Sus scrofa: one gene and its partners. The protein of the gene in region 1 interacts with the protein of each later gene in a biochemical or structural test. Links are inferred from orthologs where the notes say so. Each region holds a gene or a part of one and is shown in the gene's direction. Other genes may lie near its edges.

The links. The genes of interacting proteins can lie anywhere in the genome.
Region 2: the proteins of NPPA (region 1) and NPR2 form a complex in vitro, tested with the Homo sapiens proteins (3 studies listed by BioGRID). The link is inferred for Sus scrofa from reciprocal best matches to the Homo sapiens genes NPPA and NPR2.
Region 3: the proteins of NPPA (region 1) and NPR3 form a complex in vitro, tested with the Homo sapiens proteins (4 studies listed by BioGRID, with this or other methods). The link is inferred for Sus scrofa from reciprocal best matches to the Homo sapiens genes NPPA and NPR3.

What each region holds. Positions count from the first base shown.
Region 1 is NC_010448.4:71,918,504-71,923,111, reverse strand, and holds NPPA (natriuretic peptides A), read left to right. Parts: upstream 1-1,766; 5' UTR 1,767-1,905; coding exon 1,906-2,025; intron 2,026-2,123; coding exon 2,124-2,450; intron 2,451-3,254; coding exon 3,255-3,266; 3' UTR 3,267-3,555; downstream 3,556-4,608.
Region 2 is NC_010443.5:236,507,111-236,512,236, forward strand, and holds the start of NPR2 (atrial natriuretic peptide receptor 2), read left to right. Parts: upstream 1-1,884; 5' UTR 1,885-2,699; coding exon 2,700-3,366; intron 3,367-4,164; coding exon 4,165-4,370; intron 4,371-5,126. UniProt on the Homo sapiens protein: Receptor for the C-type natriuretic peptide NPPC/CNP hormone. Has guanylate cyclase activity upon binding of its ligand. May play a role in the regulation of skeletal growth.
Region 3 is NC_010458.4:18,839,711-18,844,781, forward strand, and holds the start of NPR3 (atrial natriuretic peptide receptor 3), read left to right. Parts: upstream 1-1,829; 5' UTR 1,830-2,788; coding exon 2,789-3,539; intron 3,540-5,071. UniProt on the Homo sapiens protein: Receptor for the natriuretic peptide hormones, binding with similar affinities atrial natriuretic peptide NPPA/ANP, brain natriuretic peptide NPPB/BNP, and C-type natriuretic peptide NPPC/CNP.

The sequences.
Region 1 (4,608 bases):
GCCCCAGGTCGGGGGAAAGTGAGGAGGTGCACAGAGGCATCCCGAGGGGCCGGGATGAGGGCAGGGTTTAATCGGAACTGTGTCTAAAGGGCTTATTAAGGAAGCATCCTACAAAGAGGCAGCAGGGCCTGTGAACTGGGTGGAGAATAAAGACACCAGTGTCAGACCTAGGGTTCAAGTCCTGGTTCTGCCCGGTGATGAGTGACGCTGGGCAGGGAACAGACCCTCTCCGTCTCAGTTCTGTCCCTCTGTGAATGGGGACCATATCCCGGAGCTGGTGATGAAAAGGAGAGAATCCACATATAGCTCTCAGCCCAGTGTCTGGCACATTCCACCCAACCAATAAAGACAACCGTGGTGAGCGCCATGCAATTAGATAGTAATTCACACTTTAGAATTTGCTCACCTATTCATAGCTCTTTGGAGCCGCGTTTGGGGCTGCACTGCTGGGCTCTCCTCCCTTCAAGTGCAGGCTTGCCCCCAGGATACGTTGCATCAAAGAGTGTGCAGCATTGAGTGCAGTGAATGGAGGCCCCTCCTTAAACGTGGACAAGCTCACCCCTGGTGTTTCTCTTGTTGGGGGGGGGGCGGAAATGGAGGCCTCAGGGGCTTATCGCTTTCTTAGCCTCAGAGAAGGATGTGGGCGGCGTTAAGGGAAACTGCATGGACCCTGGTTGTCTCCCACCCTCACTCCATCAGCCAACTTTGCCTGGGAGCTTGCCTGGAAGGTGTGAGGCCCTCCATGCTTCAAACCCAGAGGCTGAGCTTCTCCAGATGAACATGCCGGAGAGTTCCCACAGTGGCTCAGTGGCAACGAACCCAGCTATTATCCATGAGGATGCGGGTTTGATCCTTGGCCTTGCTCAGTGGGTGAAGGACCTGTTGTTGCCGTGAGTTGTGGTGTAGGTCATATGCAGCTCAGATCTGGTGTTGCTGTGGCTATGGGTCGGCGGCTGCAGTTCTGATTCAGCCCCTAGCCTGGGAACTTCCATATGATGCAGGTGTGACCCTTAAAAGCCAAAAAAAAAAAAAAAAAAAAAAAAAAAAGGCAAATGCCAGCATCCTCTCAGGGCCCATTTCCTGCAGCTCCTCGGAGGGAGCTGTGCGGGGGTAAGATTTGCAGAGCGATGACCACGTTCCCCAAACTCTTCTGGGTGTTTGTATTTGGGAGCAGGGTTCTTGGGACATTTGTCACATTTAGTTCCGGCTGACTTAGGACTCTAAAAAAGTCCTCTGTCTTCACCTGATGGCTGAGAGTGACAGCCAGGGAGCAAGGGCAGCCCTGTGGAGGGAAAGGCCTGCCCTCCCCACCCAGGAGTCAGGTGTGAGGTCAGCTGGAGCATCTGGACTAATTTGTCCCTAGCCGCTGGCTGCCTGCCATTTCCTCCTCTCCCGCCCTTATTTGGAGCCCCTGACAGCTGAGCCGCAAACCAGCAGGGGAGCTGGGTGCCAGCCAGCCGTCACCCTGTGCTTCCCTGCCTGGGTCCCGTTGCCCAGGAGAAAGAAGCCCGAGGCATCGCTGGGAGATAACCAAGGACTCTTTTTCGCTCTTCTCACACCTTTGAAGTGGGAACCTCTTGAGGCAAATCAACAAGAATGTGGCTCTTGCAGCTGAGGGTCCCGGGGGTTGTTGGGGCTGCTCAAGGTGGAGGGGCTGTGACAAGCTGGCTGGACTGATAACTTTAAAAGGGCATCTTCTGCTGGCTCCTCACTCAGCGGCTTTATCACTGCAAGTGACAGAATGGGGAGGGTTCCATCCCTCTTGCGCTCTCGGAGAGCCTGGGGGCTATAAAAGAGGTGGCTCAGGGCAGCTGGAAGACAGAGACGGACGAAAGCCAGGAGGGGGAAACCAGAAAGGAGAGGGAAGAGGAGCAAGTGGCAGACCACTCCCTGACCGACGCCAGCATGGGCTCCTCCACCATCACCGTGAGCTTCCTCCTCGTTCTGGTGTTTCAGTTCCCAGGGCAAACCAGAGCGAACCCTGTGTACGGCTCCGTGTCCAATGCAGACCTGATGGATTTCAAGGTAGGGCCAGGAAAGGGGCACAGTCTGGGGTGAGGGGGCTTTGGGACCTGGTGCCCGTCAGTGAGATCTCTCCCTTTCCCGCTCTTCCTTTTATCAAGAATTTGCTGGACCACTTGGAGGACAAGATGCCTTTAGAAGATGAGGCTATGCCCCCACAAGTACTAAGCGAGCAGAATGAGGAAGTGGGGGCCCCTCTCAGCCCCCTTTTGGAGGTACCTCCCTGGACCGGGGAGGTGAACCCAGCCCAGAGAGATGGGGGTGCCCTGGGGCGGGGCCCCTGGGACGCTTCCGATAGATCTGCCCTTCTGAAGAGCAAGCTGAGGGCACTGCTTGCTGCCCCTCGGAGCCTGCGGAGGTCCAGCTGCTTCGGGGGTAGGATGGACAGGATTGGAGCACAGAGTGGACTGGGCTGTAACAGCTTCCGGGTAAGAGAAACCAGGGGTGGAAATGGGACGGGGAGGAAGGACATGGGGTTTCATTGATATTCAGGCCTTGTGAAAGAGTACCACTAGGGATGCCCTCAGCAGGAGAGGGATCAGCATTAAGGCTCATTCTCTTTGGGGAGTTCCCGTCGTGGCGCAGAGGAAACGAATCCGACTAGGAACCATGAGGTTGTGGGTTCGATCCCTGGCCTTCCTCAGTGGGTTAAGGATCCGGCGTTGCCGTGAGTTGTGGTGTAGGTCATAGACAAGCCTCAGATCTGGCCTTGCTGTGGCTGTGGCACAGGCCGGTGGCAATAGCTCCGATTCGACCCCTAGCCTGGGAACCGCCATATGCCTCTGGTGCAGCACTAAAAAAAAAAAAATAAAATAAATAAACAAACAAACAAACAAACAAAAAAACCACATTCTCTTTGAAATTTCTGCGCTAGCTGGGTGGGAGCTCTGTGACTCTCGGAACAATGACGTCATCCTCAGCTAGAGCCTGCTGAGAAAATGATAGGCAAAAAAGAAGTTCCTTGCCATGAGCCCTGGGAACTTAAAAAATTCACCTTCTTCCGGCTGATTGGCATTTTATGCTCCTCCCCAAAGTGTCAGATTCCCCCCAAAATGGAAATTTACCAGGATCGACTTTACTAGCTCCTCATGTCAATTCGTTTGCCAGTTCATGCAACTCAGGCAGTCGTTGGGCTGGAGAGGGGACCGTAGGAAGTAAGAATTGTCCTGTGAAGCTGACTTTTCCAGGAGAGCCAGGTCCCCAAGCCAAACACGTTTCTGTTCTCTTTGTAGTACCGAAGATAACGCCAGGGAGGAAAAGGCGAGCCAGGCCCCGGCCAGACTTGGAGAGACCCTCATCCCCTGGGGTCTCTCTCTCATCTTTGTCCTGTCTCGTTGCTGTCAAGTTGAGGTGTGAAGAGCACCCGATTCAAGGGGCAGCCTCCTGTCAACATGTCTCACATTTTAGGCTAAATGTAAAGTGATTTCATTGCGGCTTCTCCACCTCTCCCACTCCTGCATTAAATTTTAGTCACCTGTTAACTGACATTGGTTTCAAAACCAATAAACTTCAGCACCACGGACAGACGCTGAAGGCTGTGGTTGGTCTGATTTCTTTCAACTCCCGAAAGGAGTTTAGTCTGCTATTCCTTGTCATTTTACCTTTCCTCAGAGTAAAGAATGCTCAATTCCTTTCCCCCTCCTTTGTAAAAAATAATAAAATTATTTTGGGGTGCAGTTTTATTTTATGCTCACAGCAAAGCTGAACAGAAAGTAGAGATTTCTCATGTAACCCTGGCCACCCCCGATGCACGGGCTCCTCAATTATCAACATCCCCCCCCAGAGTGGGACATATGTTCCCATCGACGTACCTGCACTGACACAGCAGAGCCACCCAATGTCCACAGTTCACAGAGAGGTCATTCTTAGTGGTGTATATTCAATGGGTTTGCACAATTTTGGGCTCCCTTCATTCCTCTGTGTATGGGTGTTTGCGTGTGTGTGTGTTTAGGGCTTGGGGACTCAAAACACAGCTCTTAACCTGCCTTCATGCTCACTGCCACCTCACCATGGATCTTGAAAAATCCCCAGGAGACCCAAAGGGTATTTATCTTTACTCAGATGTGCTCACATTTAGGGTACTTATTTATTGAAAAAGAAAAGTTACAAATATCAGGGCTTTTTTGTTTTGTTTTTTTTTTCTTTTTATAGTCACACCTGTGGCATATGGAAGTTCCCAAGCTAGGGGTTGAATCAGAACTGCAGCTGCCAGCCTACATCACAGACAGAGCAACGTGGGATTCCAGCTCCATCTGTGCCCTATGCCTCAGCTTGTGGCAACTCTGGGTCCTTAATCCACTGAGCGAGGTCAGGGATTGAACCTGCATCCTCACGAACATTTATGTCAGGTTCTTAACCCACTGGGCTACAACAGGAGCACCTAGGTTTTTTTTTCTAATTACATCTAAAGTAGCTCGTATTTGATAGATCGTTCTTGCACCTAGTATTTTTTGGTTTCAGTTATTTATTTTTTTTTTTAGAGACAATATATTTAAAATGAGGATCCTGGGAGTTCCCATTGAGGTGCAGCAGAAAGGAACGCGACTAGTGCTCATGAGGACGCAGGTTCGATCCCTGGCCTCGCTC
Region 2 (5,126 bases), on another chromosome or scaffold:
TCAACCCACTGAGCAAGGGCAGGGATGGAACCCGCAACCTCATGGTTCCTAGTCGGATTCGTTAACCACTGCGCCACGACGGGAACTCTGGAAATCTGGATTCTAGCCTCTGTTCTGCTGTTAAAAAGCTACATAGGGTTAGGGGAGAGGGGCTGTGGAGGAAGCTATGGACTTCCCTCTCTGGTACTCAGTTTTCAGTTATCTTTAAATAATTGAAAGTGAACAGTACATTAAGAGTCTTCCTAGCCCTGAAATGCTGTGATTTTGGCAGAGATCGTGTCATTTGGATTTAATTCTCTCATTAAACTGTGTGTAGTTGCTTGAACATTATTATTTGGTTGACTGGTTCTGAAGTTAGAGCCATGTCCTTTTCAGATTGTCTCATCACCCTTTTGACTGTTCTAGCCTCCTTTTCCTTGCTCAGATAGGACAGAATTTCTTTATACTAATAGTGTCCCTAACTGGAACTGGAGTTACATGTCTGTTAAAGAAAGAGCTAAGTTTTCCTAAGGGCTGGAAGCAAGAGACATTGTTGGAGGGCTTGCCTTGGGCCTCTGCACCCGAGGGATTCCAGTTGTATGCTCTTCAAAGGTAAGCCTGTGTCATTCAGCTTTTTGTCTTCACCCCTCAGCTTGTGCAAGGCGGCGGGTGTTCAATAAAGAAATATCCTTCCTAAGAATAAAATGGCATCATCCTTAATTTCCCCCCCAACTACTAGGTGTCGCCTTCATCTCAGAGAAACTAGGCCCCTCCTCTCCCCTCACACCCACCTTTCTCCCTCTACTCAAGGGACTCTCTCAGCTTCTTGGCACTAGGATTTTGGGAGAAGTGGCTTGAAGTGGGAGACAAACTGTGGCTCTCAGCAAGGGGAGGATAATGGGTTTATGTGTATCTCCTTTGTGACAATTTGAGGAAAACTCCCTAAGGCCCCACTGCAATCCCTCCCAGCCACCATGATATCATTCCTCACAAGCTGTTTCCCAGATCAGATCAGCCCTCCCTCCAGATATGGGGTGTCTGGGATGAGACTTCTAGGCTTGAAGCTAGGCAGCGGGGTGTAACCCAAGGGGGACACCGTGGGCTTCCGTTGCTGGGGGTATATGTTCTGCTCAGTCCCTGAGCTTTTATCAGGTGCGAGCTGGGGCTCTGCAGGGAGGCAAAAGACAGAAGAGGACGTTCTGGGGTCCAGCCCTGGAGCAGATGGTGCAGTGGGAGCCCAGAGGGCTACAGTGGCCTCTGAGGACCTGGCAGGGCTCAGAGGATGCTGGGGCTGGGGGTTGGGGACAGGAAGAGGGAGACTGGAGGGTTGGGTCCTGTGGAAGAAGGAGGCTCACAGACTTCGAAAGGACTCAGGAAAAATCTGCCCTGGTCCTGGAGGGGGCTGCCTTCCAGGGAGCAGTCTTACTGGTGAAGGAGGGAGAAGTTCCCGGCAATGAGGAGGGTGGTATGGTTTCCTAGGTGGAGGCCAAATGAGGATACCAAATATGTGGGTCCTGACTGCTTCCTGGAGACTGTGGAGTGTTGGAGGGACTCAGGCAAGTTAAGAAAGGAGACCCTAAGAAGAGTGGGAGACGCGAGGGGCTGGGACGAGTGACTCTGGGCTGGTGGGAGGGTGAGAGATGGAGAGCCGAGCGGGGTGGGCCAGGGGCTTGGGGGAGACTGGGGTAGGCCTTGTAGTGAGGGGACGCCCGGAACCTCGCCGGCCTGAGAGGCCCTCGCGCGGAGCCCCCCGACTTGTCACCGGGTGGGCTTGGGATCTGGGACGTCCCCGGTCCCCCGGGTGGAGGGTGGGGGGAGACAGCAGGCGCCGGAGGGTGGGGCCGGGAGGGAGGAGGAGGGGCCGCGGGGAGGGGGCGGGGAAGGCGGGCGGCCTGCCCCGGGAGTCACATTCGGCCGCCGCCGGCGCAGCGAGCGGAGACGGCGGGGCCGCGGCGACCTGACCTGGACGAGCGGCGCGCCCGGGGGCCCAGGCGGGGGCGGGAGGAAGCGCCGGGCTGCGCCGGCCGCCCGGGCCCAGGAGAAGCGGAGCAGAGAGGAGCTGGGACACGGGCGGGGCCGCCGCAGCTCCGGATGGGACCAGCGCCCTGGGCCCGTTAGTCCAAGCAGGAGCTTCAGGAGAAGCCTTCACAGGGAGATTTACCCCTGCCTTTCCCTCCCCTCCGGCCCAGGCCTCGCTTCGCTCCCCGCCTGCCCATGGTCCCAGTCCTTCCGCGGCGCTGGCCCCCTCCCACCTTGTCCCCTCGGTCCTCCTTTTCGCAGCTCTCTGCTCCCCTAGCCCCTTCAGCTGTGGGGTCCCCCCAGGCCTTCTCTTTGTACCAGTCTCCCCCCCACCCCCACCCCCACCCCATCCCAGTCTCCGATCCCCTTTTCCTTCTCAGCTTTGGATTCATCAGCCGACTTCACCTCCCACCATTCCCATCCCAGTCGCAGGCCCCCTTGGTCCCTCCCTCCTCCTGCCACCCTACTCCTAGTCCTCCCCTGTCCATGCCCTAGGTTGGTGGACCCGCTCAGTCCCTGGGGTTCCTCCCATCTCCTCCTCCTCTCCCATCCCTGCCACTTTCTGTATCCCAGCCTACCTGGCTTATCCTCGCTTCTCTTCCTGGTAGTCTTTAGGTTCCAGGCTGGGTGGTGCTTGTGCCTCCTCCGTAGGCCAGAGTGGCCCCAGGTTCTGGGGGTGGTGGGGCTGCCGCTTTCTCCCCATGGCACTGCCATCACTCCTGCTGTTGGTGGCAGCCCTGGCAGGTGGGGTGCGTCCTCCCGGGCCACGGAACCTGACGCTGGCGGTGGTGCTGCCAGAACACAACCTGAGCTATGCCTGGGCCTGGCCACGGGTGGGTCCTGCTGTGGCACTAGCTGTGGAGGCGCTGGGCCGGGCTCTGCCCGTGGACCTACGGTTTGTCAGCTCTGAACTAGATGGCGCCTGCTCTGAGTACCTGGCACCGCTGCGCGCTGTGGACCTCAAGCTGTACCATGACCCCGACCTTCTGTTGGGCCCCGGTTGCGTGTACCCCGCTGCCTCTGTGGCCCGCTTTGCCTCACACTGGCGCCTTCCCCTGCTGACTGCGGGTGCTGTGGCCTCTGGTTTTTCGGCTAAGAATGAGCATTACCGTACCCTGGTGCGCACTGGCCCCTCTGCTCCCAAGCTGGGTGAGTTTGTAGTGATGCTACACGGGCACTTCAATTGGACTGCCCGTGCTGCCTTGCTGTATCTGGATGCTCGCACAGATGACCGGCCTCACTACTTCACCATCGAGGGCGTCTTTGAGGCCCTGCAGGGCAGCAACCTCAGTGTGCAGCACCAGGTGTATGCCCGTGAGCCAGGGGGCCCTGAGCAGGCCACCCACTTCATCCGGGCCAACGGGCGCAGTGAGTGTGGCCCAGGCTATTTCAGGGTTAGGGGAGGAGGGTCGCTGTGTCCCTGGAGCTCAGCGCTGGGAGACAGGCTTCGAGGAGCTGAATGTGGTGGTCGGGATCAGGAAGCACATGTGGACTGAATCCCTGGGCGAGGGCTAGGGGCTTGTGGACATCTCAGGCAGATGTGAACAAGGGATAAGATAGCATGAGGGGTGAAGCTTGTGTTGGGGAGATCGTGGGATTGGGGGGGGTTGAATTTGAGGAGCAATCTAGAGGGTCCTGGAGTCATGAATGTGGCTGATGGTCACTCCAAAATGTGTGCCTGTCTGGGCAGAGACTTCTCAGACTGGGCCACTAAGCCCTCTTGGTGGCACAGAAAGAGTGGGGACTCCATGAATGGGCTTTGGGGTGCCGCAGATTTGGCTGGGAAATATGGTAACGCTCATGTGGAGAGAAATTCTGAGCCGTCAGTGCCTTTGAGCTTAGAGAAGGGCAGGGCAGAGTGGGGAGCGAGGAGGGCTGGGTGGGGAGCAGCAGGCAGGGCTCGGGGAAGGGGAGGGGCTTGAGGGTGAGCTCCCTTCCTCTGGGGTCTGGAGTCCGACTCTGACTTTTGCCAGATGGTCCATACAGCCCCCAGGGTACTTAAGACAGAATCTCCAAGGGGGAGGGATGGGGAACATCTGCTGGGTGGTTGATAGTTAGGGCTTCTGTTCCTTGCTAAAGATGGAAACGCAGATGGTCAGAGAGGGGGCGGTTCAGGGTCCTGGATACTTTTCTCAGAGCGCCCCTCTGTCATGTACCTGCTCCCAGTTGTGTATATCTGCGGCCCTCTGGAGATGCTGCATGAGATCCTGCTTCAGGCCCAGAGGGAGAACCTGACCAACGGGGATTATGTCTTCTTTTACCTGGACGTCTTTGGGGAGAGTCTTCGTGCAGGCCCTACGCGCTCCACAGGCCGGCCCTGGCAGGACAATCACACCCGGGAACAGGCACAGGCCCTCAGAGAAGCTTTTCAGGTATCATTTGAGCCACGCTTGAAGGGGCGGAGGGAGAGGAGCTTCTTTGGGGATTATCTGTCTCTCACAGGCCCTCAGAGAAGCTTTTCAGGTATCATTTGAGCCACGCTTGAAGGGGCGGGGGGAGAGGAGCTTCTTTGGGGATTATCTGTCTCTCACAAGACCCCACAGAAACAATAAGGAAGGAATTGTGAGCTAAACAAACTGAGACTTTCCAAGTCTAGACTCAGATTCTTTTTACTTCCACACCTTTGTGCCTCTTTCTCAGTGTGTCTGCCAAGGCTGCCTCCCAAGATCCCGAAACACTGACTTTGCTCAGTAGCGGTAGTAGATATACTGTGGGAGAGAAAAGTTCAGAAGAATATCTAGTCCCAGCCCCTGGGAGGGCTTCCACCCTTTCTGGAGAGGCCAGGCATGATTGCATTACAGTTGGATGCAAGTATGAGAAAGGTTGTGATTATGTGTCCTGGAGCAGACCCTAAGAACCTCAGTGGTTCAGAGGAGAGAGTCAGGGTGGACTGAGTTTAAGGAAGGCTTTTATCAAGGAAGTGAGAGGAGTTCCCGTCGTGGCTCAGCAGTTAGGGAACCCGACTAGCATCCATGAGGACTCAGGTTCGATCCTCGGCCTCGCTCAGTGGGTTAAGGATCCAGCATTGCCATGAGCTGCGGTGTAGATCGTAGATGCGGCTCAGATCTGGAGTTGCCATGGCTGTGGTGTAGGCTGGTGGCTACAGCTCCAATTGGACCCCTGGCCTG
Region 3 (5,071 bases), on another chromosome or scaffold:
GGGGTGCATTGAACATCCGCAAGAGAGGTAACACTGGCTTTTCTGGTTCTGCTGCCTAGTTTGGGGGCTCTTCCCTTCCACATCTTAGTTTGTGCTCTTGAGTGACAAACTGGAGTGGAGAGCTCTGTTCCAAAGGCCACGGAGAGGCCGTGACACTCACTCAGACGTAAAGGCACTGCCCTGCCTGTGACCCTGGCTGGGCAGCGCTGGGACAGGGAGAGGCTTTCACACCCGATGCCACTGAAACCCCAGACTTTCCCACTAAGCCCGCGCTACACAGTGAGCGGAATCATATCGCTGTTGGCCAGTGTTCCCCAGACACAGGGCATAGCGAGCGGTAATAGTAAACCCTGGTTTCTTCACGTCTCCTGGCAACCAGTTTCGAAATCCATTAAGACCCTTGGAATTCGGGATTTAGCTTGTTGTTCTCTCTCTCTCCCCCTCCCTTCTTCCTAGGAATTCAGGGGGGATTTAGTCGCTGTGAAGCTCTAAATCTCAATTTCCAGTGTGTGGGGGGTACCCGTTTTGGGGGGGAAATAAAATTGTATACAGATGCCTCGTGTGCTACTGGCTAGCAGGTCTAGTAACATGAATGAAGGTTTTCGCTGGAATTATAAGGTCCTACTTGAAGATTCAGGGACCACAGAGCATTATCTGAAATCTAAATGCCCCGAGGATGAAACGTTACTCAGCTACATTTACAGTGTCAGAAAGAGCGATAAGGAGGGTGATGTTAAGAGTGGCGAGCACTGATGCCTGAAGTTGCTACATCTCCGGAAACCCCAATTTACCGTTTCACCGTCACAAATGAGAGCGATGGCTCTTTGAGATCCCGGCGTTAAATAAAGCAAAACAAAACAAAACCCAAAACAAACTCAGCGCCTGGGGAGGTGGCAACCGGGGTAGACGGCGGCTGCAAGTTTCTGCCGAAAGAGGGCGTTGGTCTAAGACTAAGAGAAGTTTATGGACAAGAACGCCCAGTCAAATGAAAGACCATTTTAAAATACTTTCAATTTATTTTAATTCGCGGGACCTAAGTGGTGGAATTCACCCTTCCAAAGTAGCAGGTTCACATTGCAAATGACCTCGGTGAAATGTTAACCAGGTTCAGAGGGTCAAGTTCCTCTAGGTCCTGCCCTGCAGCGCAGCGCACTCCGGCGAGGCTCTTCTGGTCACTGACTTCTTCAAGGCCGTTTCCATCCTCGTCTCCAACACTGCTGTGGCTGGGACCAGTGGCGTGACTGGGTCTCGGACGCAGGACCTTTCTCGGCCTTGGAGAACCTAGAGCACAGGTTCTCGCGAGCCGCGGAAGAAAAGCGGTGGGATTTCCCAGCGCAAGGACTGGAGCGGAGGACGCGACTCCACCCAGGGGCCTTCGGGAAAAAGCTTTCGGAAGAAGGTCTCTTTATGTAGTTACCTGGTTTAGCAAACAAAGCCCAAGGATGCCTTGGAGATGCTTTTCAAGCCTTCTGCCACCTCCAGGCGAAAAAGTGTTCTCTCGCCTTTGGGAGCAACAAGTTTCGCTTTTCTGCTCGAAGCGCGCCAGCGGAGGTGTTCGGTGCGCGGGGAACACTGGGTGCGTGGGGAACGCTGGATGCGCCGCAGCACTTCGGCTCCGGCGCGAACCCGGGCTGCCCAGGGGGAGGAGGCCGGCGGGGGGCGGGGGAGGACGCCGGGGCTAGCAAGGCGTTCCAGGTCCGCGACCTAGACGTCTGCATCGGTGCCTTGGTCCTTGTTCCCTGACCTTGAGCCAGGGGGGCTGGGAAGGTCGACTGCCCGCCCCGAGTCGCTTCGGGAGGGAGTGTGGCTGGAGTGAGAGAGAGGTGAGAGCTTTTTTTTTTTTTTTTTGCAACGAAACCACTAATTTCTAGGACCACCCCATTCCTCTTTTTTATTTTTTTTTTTTGCACGTTATGTGTGTGCCTGCGCGCGTTTCTTTACTTTCAAACACATTTCCATTTTTAAAGGCCGGAGCTGAAGAGAGGGCTGCCGCACGCGGGGCAAGGGAGTGGCGGGGACCCTGGTGGCAGTGTGGAGCGGTGGGGGCTCCTGCTGGTGCAGACGTGGGCGACTGCGGCTTTAAGGAAAAGGCCGAGGTCTGACGGGGAGTGGGAGTTAGGGACAGGGGAGGGGTGGGAAGAGTAGGGGTGCGGGGAGGAGCCCTGATGTAAGAATGTTAATGAGAGGCTCCCCAGCCCAGCCCCCACCACTCCCCACTCCCACCCTCCCCACCGGTTGGAAATACAAGCCCAGCCTCGGCGCGCCTTGTGTGGTAACACGCTCCGCCGCTGCCACGCTATTTAAACTCGGGTTATGGATCCAGGAACCGGCGCGAATCAATGAGATCAAACGCGAGGGAGATGCACCGTCAATTACAAGCACCTGGACAAGTCTAACTTTTTCTTCTTTTACAAATACGCTTTCAAAAGAAACCTTAGCAACGCCCAAATAAGAAGCCACCTCTAAGCAAAATAGTATATATAAAGGGAGGGCGAATATATATATATATATTTATAAAAAGTATATTTATAATATAGCTGTATAGGTTTACACCCGGTGAACTTTTTCTTTTCCTTTCTTCTTTTTTCTTTTTTTTAAACGAGTGGCATTGCAAAGGAGGACTCTTCCTCTCTATCTTTTGGCGAGTTAGTGAAGGGGGTATTCTATTTTCTTAGAGCGCCCAAGGGGGCGCAGGGACCTCGGAGAGTAGAGTGGGGAGGAAAGAGGAAGGGTGGGTGGGGGGCAGAGAGCGAGTCCGCAGCGAGGGCAGGCGCTTTCCTGCGGCACGATGCCTTCCCTGCTGGTGCTCACTTTCTCCGCGTGCGTACTGCTCGACTGGGCGTTGCTGGTCGGCTGCACGGGTGGCGGTGTTGGCGGGGGCCCGGGCGGCGGGCGCCGGGAGAGAGAGGCGCTGCCGCCGCAGAAGATCGAGGTGCTGGTGCTGTTGCCCCAGGACGACTCGTACCTGTTTTCCCTGGCCCGGGTGCGGCCGGCCATCGAATATGCACTGCGCAGCGTGGAGGGAAACGGGACCGGGCGGCGGCTTCTGCCACCAGGCACTCGCTTCCAGGTGGCCTACGAAGACTCGGACTGCGGCAACCGCGCACTCTTCAGCCTGGTGGACCGCGTGGCGGCGGCGCGGGGCGCCAAGCCCGACCTCATCCTGGGGCCGGTGTGCGAGTATGCGGCTGCACCGGTAGCCCGGCTTGCGTCCCACTGGGATCTGCCCATGCTGTCAGCCGGGGCACTCGCAGCCGGCTTCCAGCATAAGGACACCGAGTACTCGCACCTCACGCGCGTGGCGCCAGCGTACGCAAAGATGGGAGAGATGATGCTTGCCCTGTTCCGTCACCACCAGTGGAGCCGCGCCGTGCTGGTTTACAGCGACGACAAGCTGGAGCGGAACTGCTTCTTCACCCTCGAGGGGGTCCATGAGGTCTTCCAGGAGGAGGGCTTGCACACGTCCGTCTACAATTTCGATGAGACCAAAGGCTTGGATCTGGACGACATCGTGCGTTACATCCAGGCCAATGAGCGAGGTGAGCAGAAGTGCGCCCCGGGGCCCCCCAGCCCTAACTCAACCACTCTGCTCGGCTCTCCCTACATGCCCCTCCGCGCCTCTGGGACCCCACTACCCTCTACGGCACTGAACACCTGGAGAGGGCGCGTGCACGGAGACTCTCCCTAGTGTGAGCTGTCTGGCTGCAGCGACCTTTGACTATCGCTCAAGGCTGTGGTGGGGTGTACGTAGAGGGTCCTGGGGACATCAAGGAGCCTGGGGGAGGGGGTGTGTGAGCCTGCAGCTCACTAGTGTCTTGGTACGACAGGTGCTGTCAAACCTCTCTGGTTGTTTCTTTTGCGCCGGGCTTGCGGTTTAGGGGCCGGCTCACTACAGGTGCCTTGCTCCAACCAGGGTCTGAAAGCGTGACGAAGCAGAAAAACTTGTTACCCGCTCCTTTTCCGAGGTGCGTCCCCTCCTAGTGAGGAAGTGTAAGCCGATGCTCTACAACCGGCGCGCGGCCAAACGGTCAGCTCCTATCTCCGGGTTTCCCTGGCTGCTGCTTCCACAGATCCCCAGCTTTCTTTTAAAGAGTCATTGCATCTCCTTTCTCATTCCTTCCATGCCCCCCCATCCCCGCGCTAGCCTTTTATGAACGGGCTTCTGTGGTTTCCACCAAAAATACCTCGCAGTGTCTGGACTCAGGCGACCCTCACTTTCCTCCGGGAGGCAGCTAGGCTTGGAGAGCGCGCGCGCTGGAGAAGTGGGGCTGAACCTCTTTTCCACGTGACTCCCCAAGTTTTCTCCGCAGGTATGTGGGGGTTTGAATAAACACCAAACTGGCCAGAGTTCAAGGCTGAGGAGAGTGGCCATGGGTAAAGGGAATGGGAGGAAAAGCAGTGGTCACGGATACATAATCAGGGAAGCGCCAGTGCGGCTCATTTTACTGCGGAGTAGATCAGCGAGAATGCGGTCGTATTCCAACATAGCACAGTCCCCTCCTTACTAATATCAGGTTTGGAGTGCACAGCGCTCGGGGAATCTGGCCTGTGCAGTTGCTTTGCGCTCAAGCTCCTGAATTGCCGGTGATGCAGACCGGCTAAAGCGCTCCAAGACCCCACGCGGGGAGACGCAGGATGAGAGAGGCCGAGCCAGGTGTGGGGCTAGCCCACGACTTGGCACGGCTGGGCACCTGGGCGCTGGCCTTGGGAGACAGTGAAACCGGAGGATGGGGGCCCAGGAACAGGTGAGAGTGGGCAAAGGCGCCGTGGGGGATGGTGCTGCGGCCACCACCCCCCTCTTCCCGATCTGGCTACCTCAAACTTGGAGTGAAAGCACTCTTTAGAGCGAAGAGATGGGGAGTGTCGACAGTGGGGTTGCATGGCCAAGTTTTGAGCTTTCGAACTCCAGGCTGTCTGCGCCGAATTCCTGCCGGCCAAGCAGGCAGGGCGGCCCCCTTCTCCGATTATGAAAAAGGGCACTTGGCACCCAAAGGCTGAGGATTTGTCACGCTGGGCGGAGAAACCCACATCCACTTCTCTCCCATTCCCAGTACCCAGATTACTGCAGACA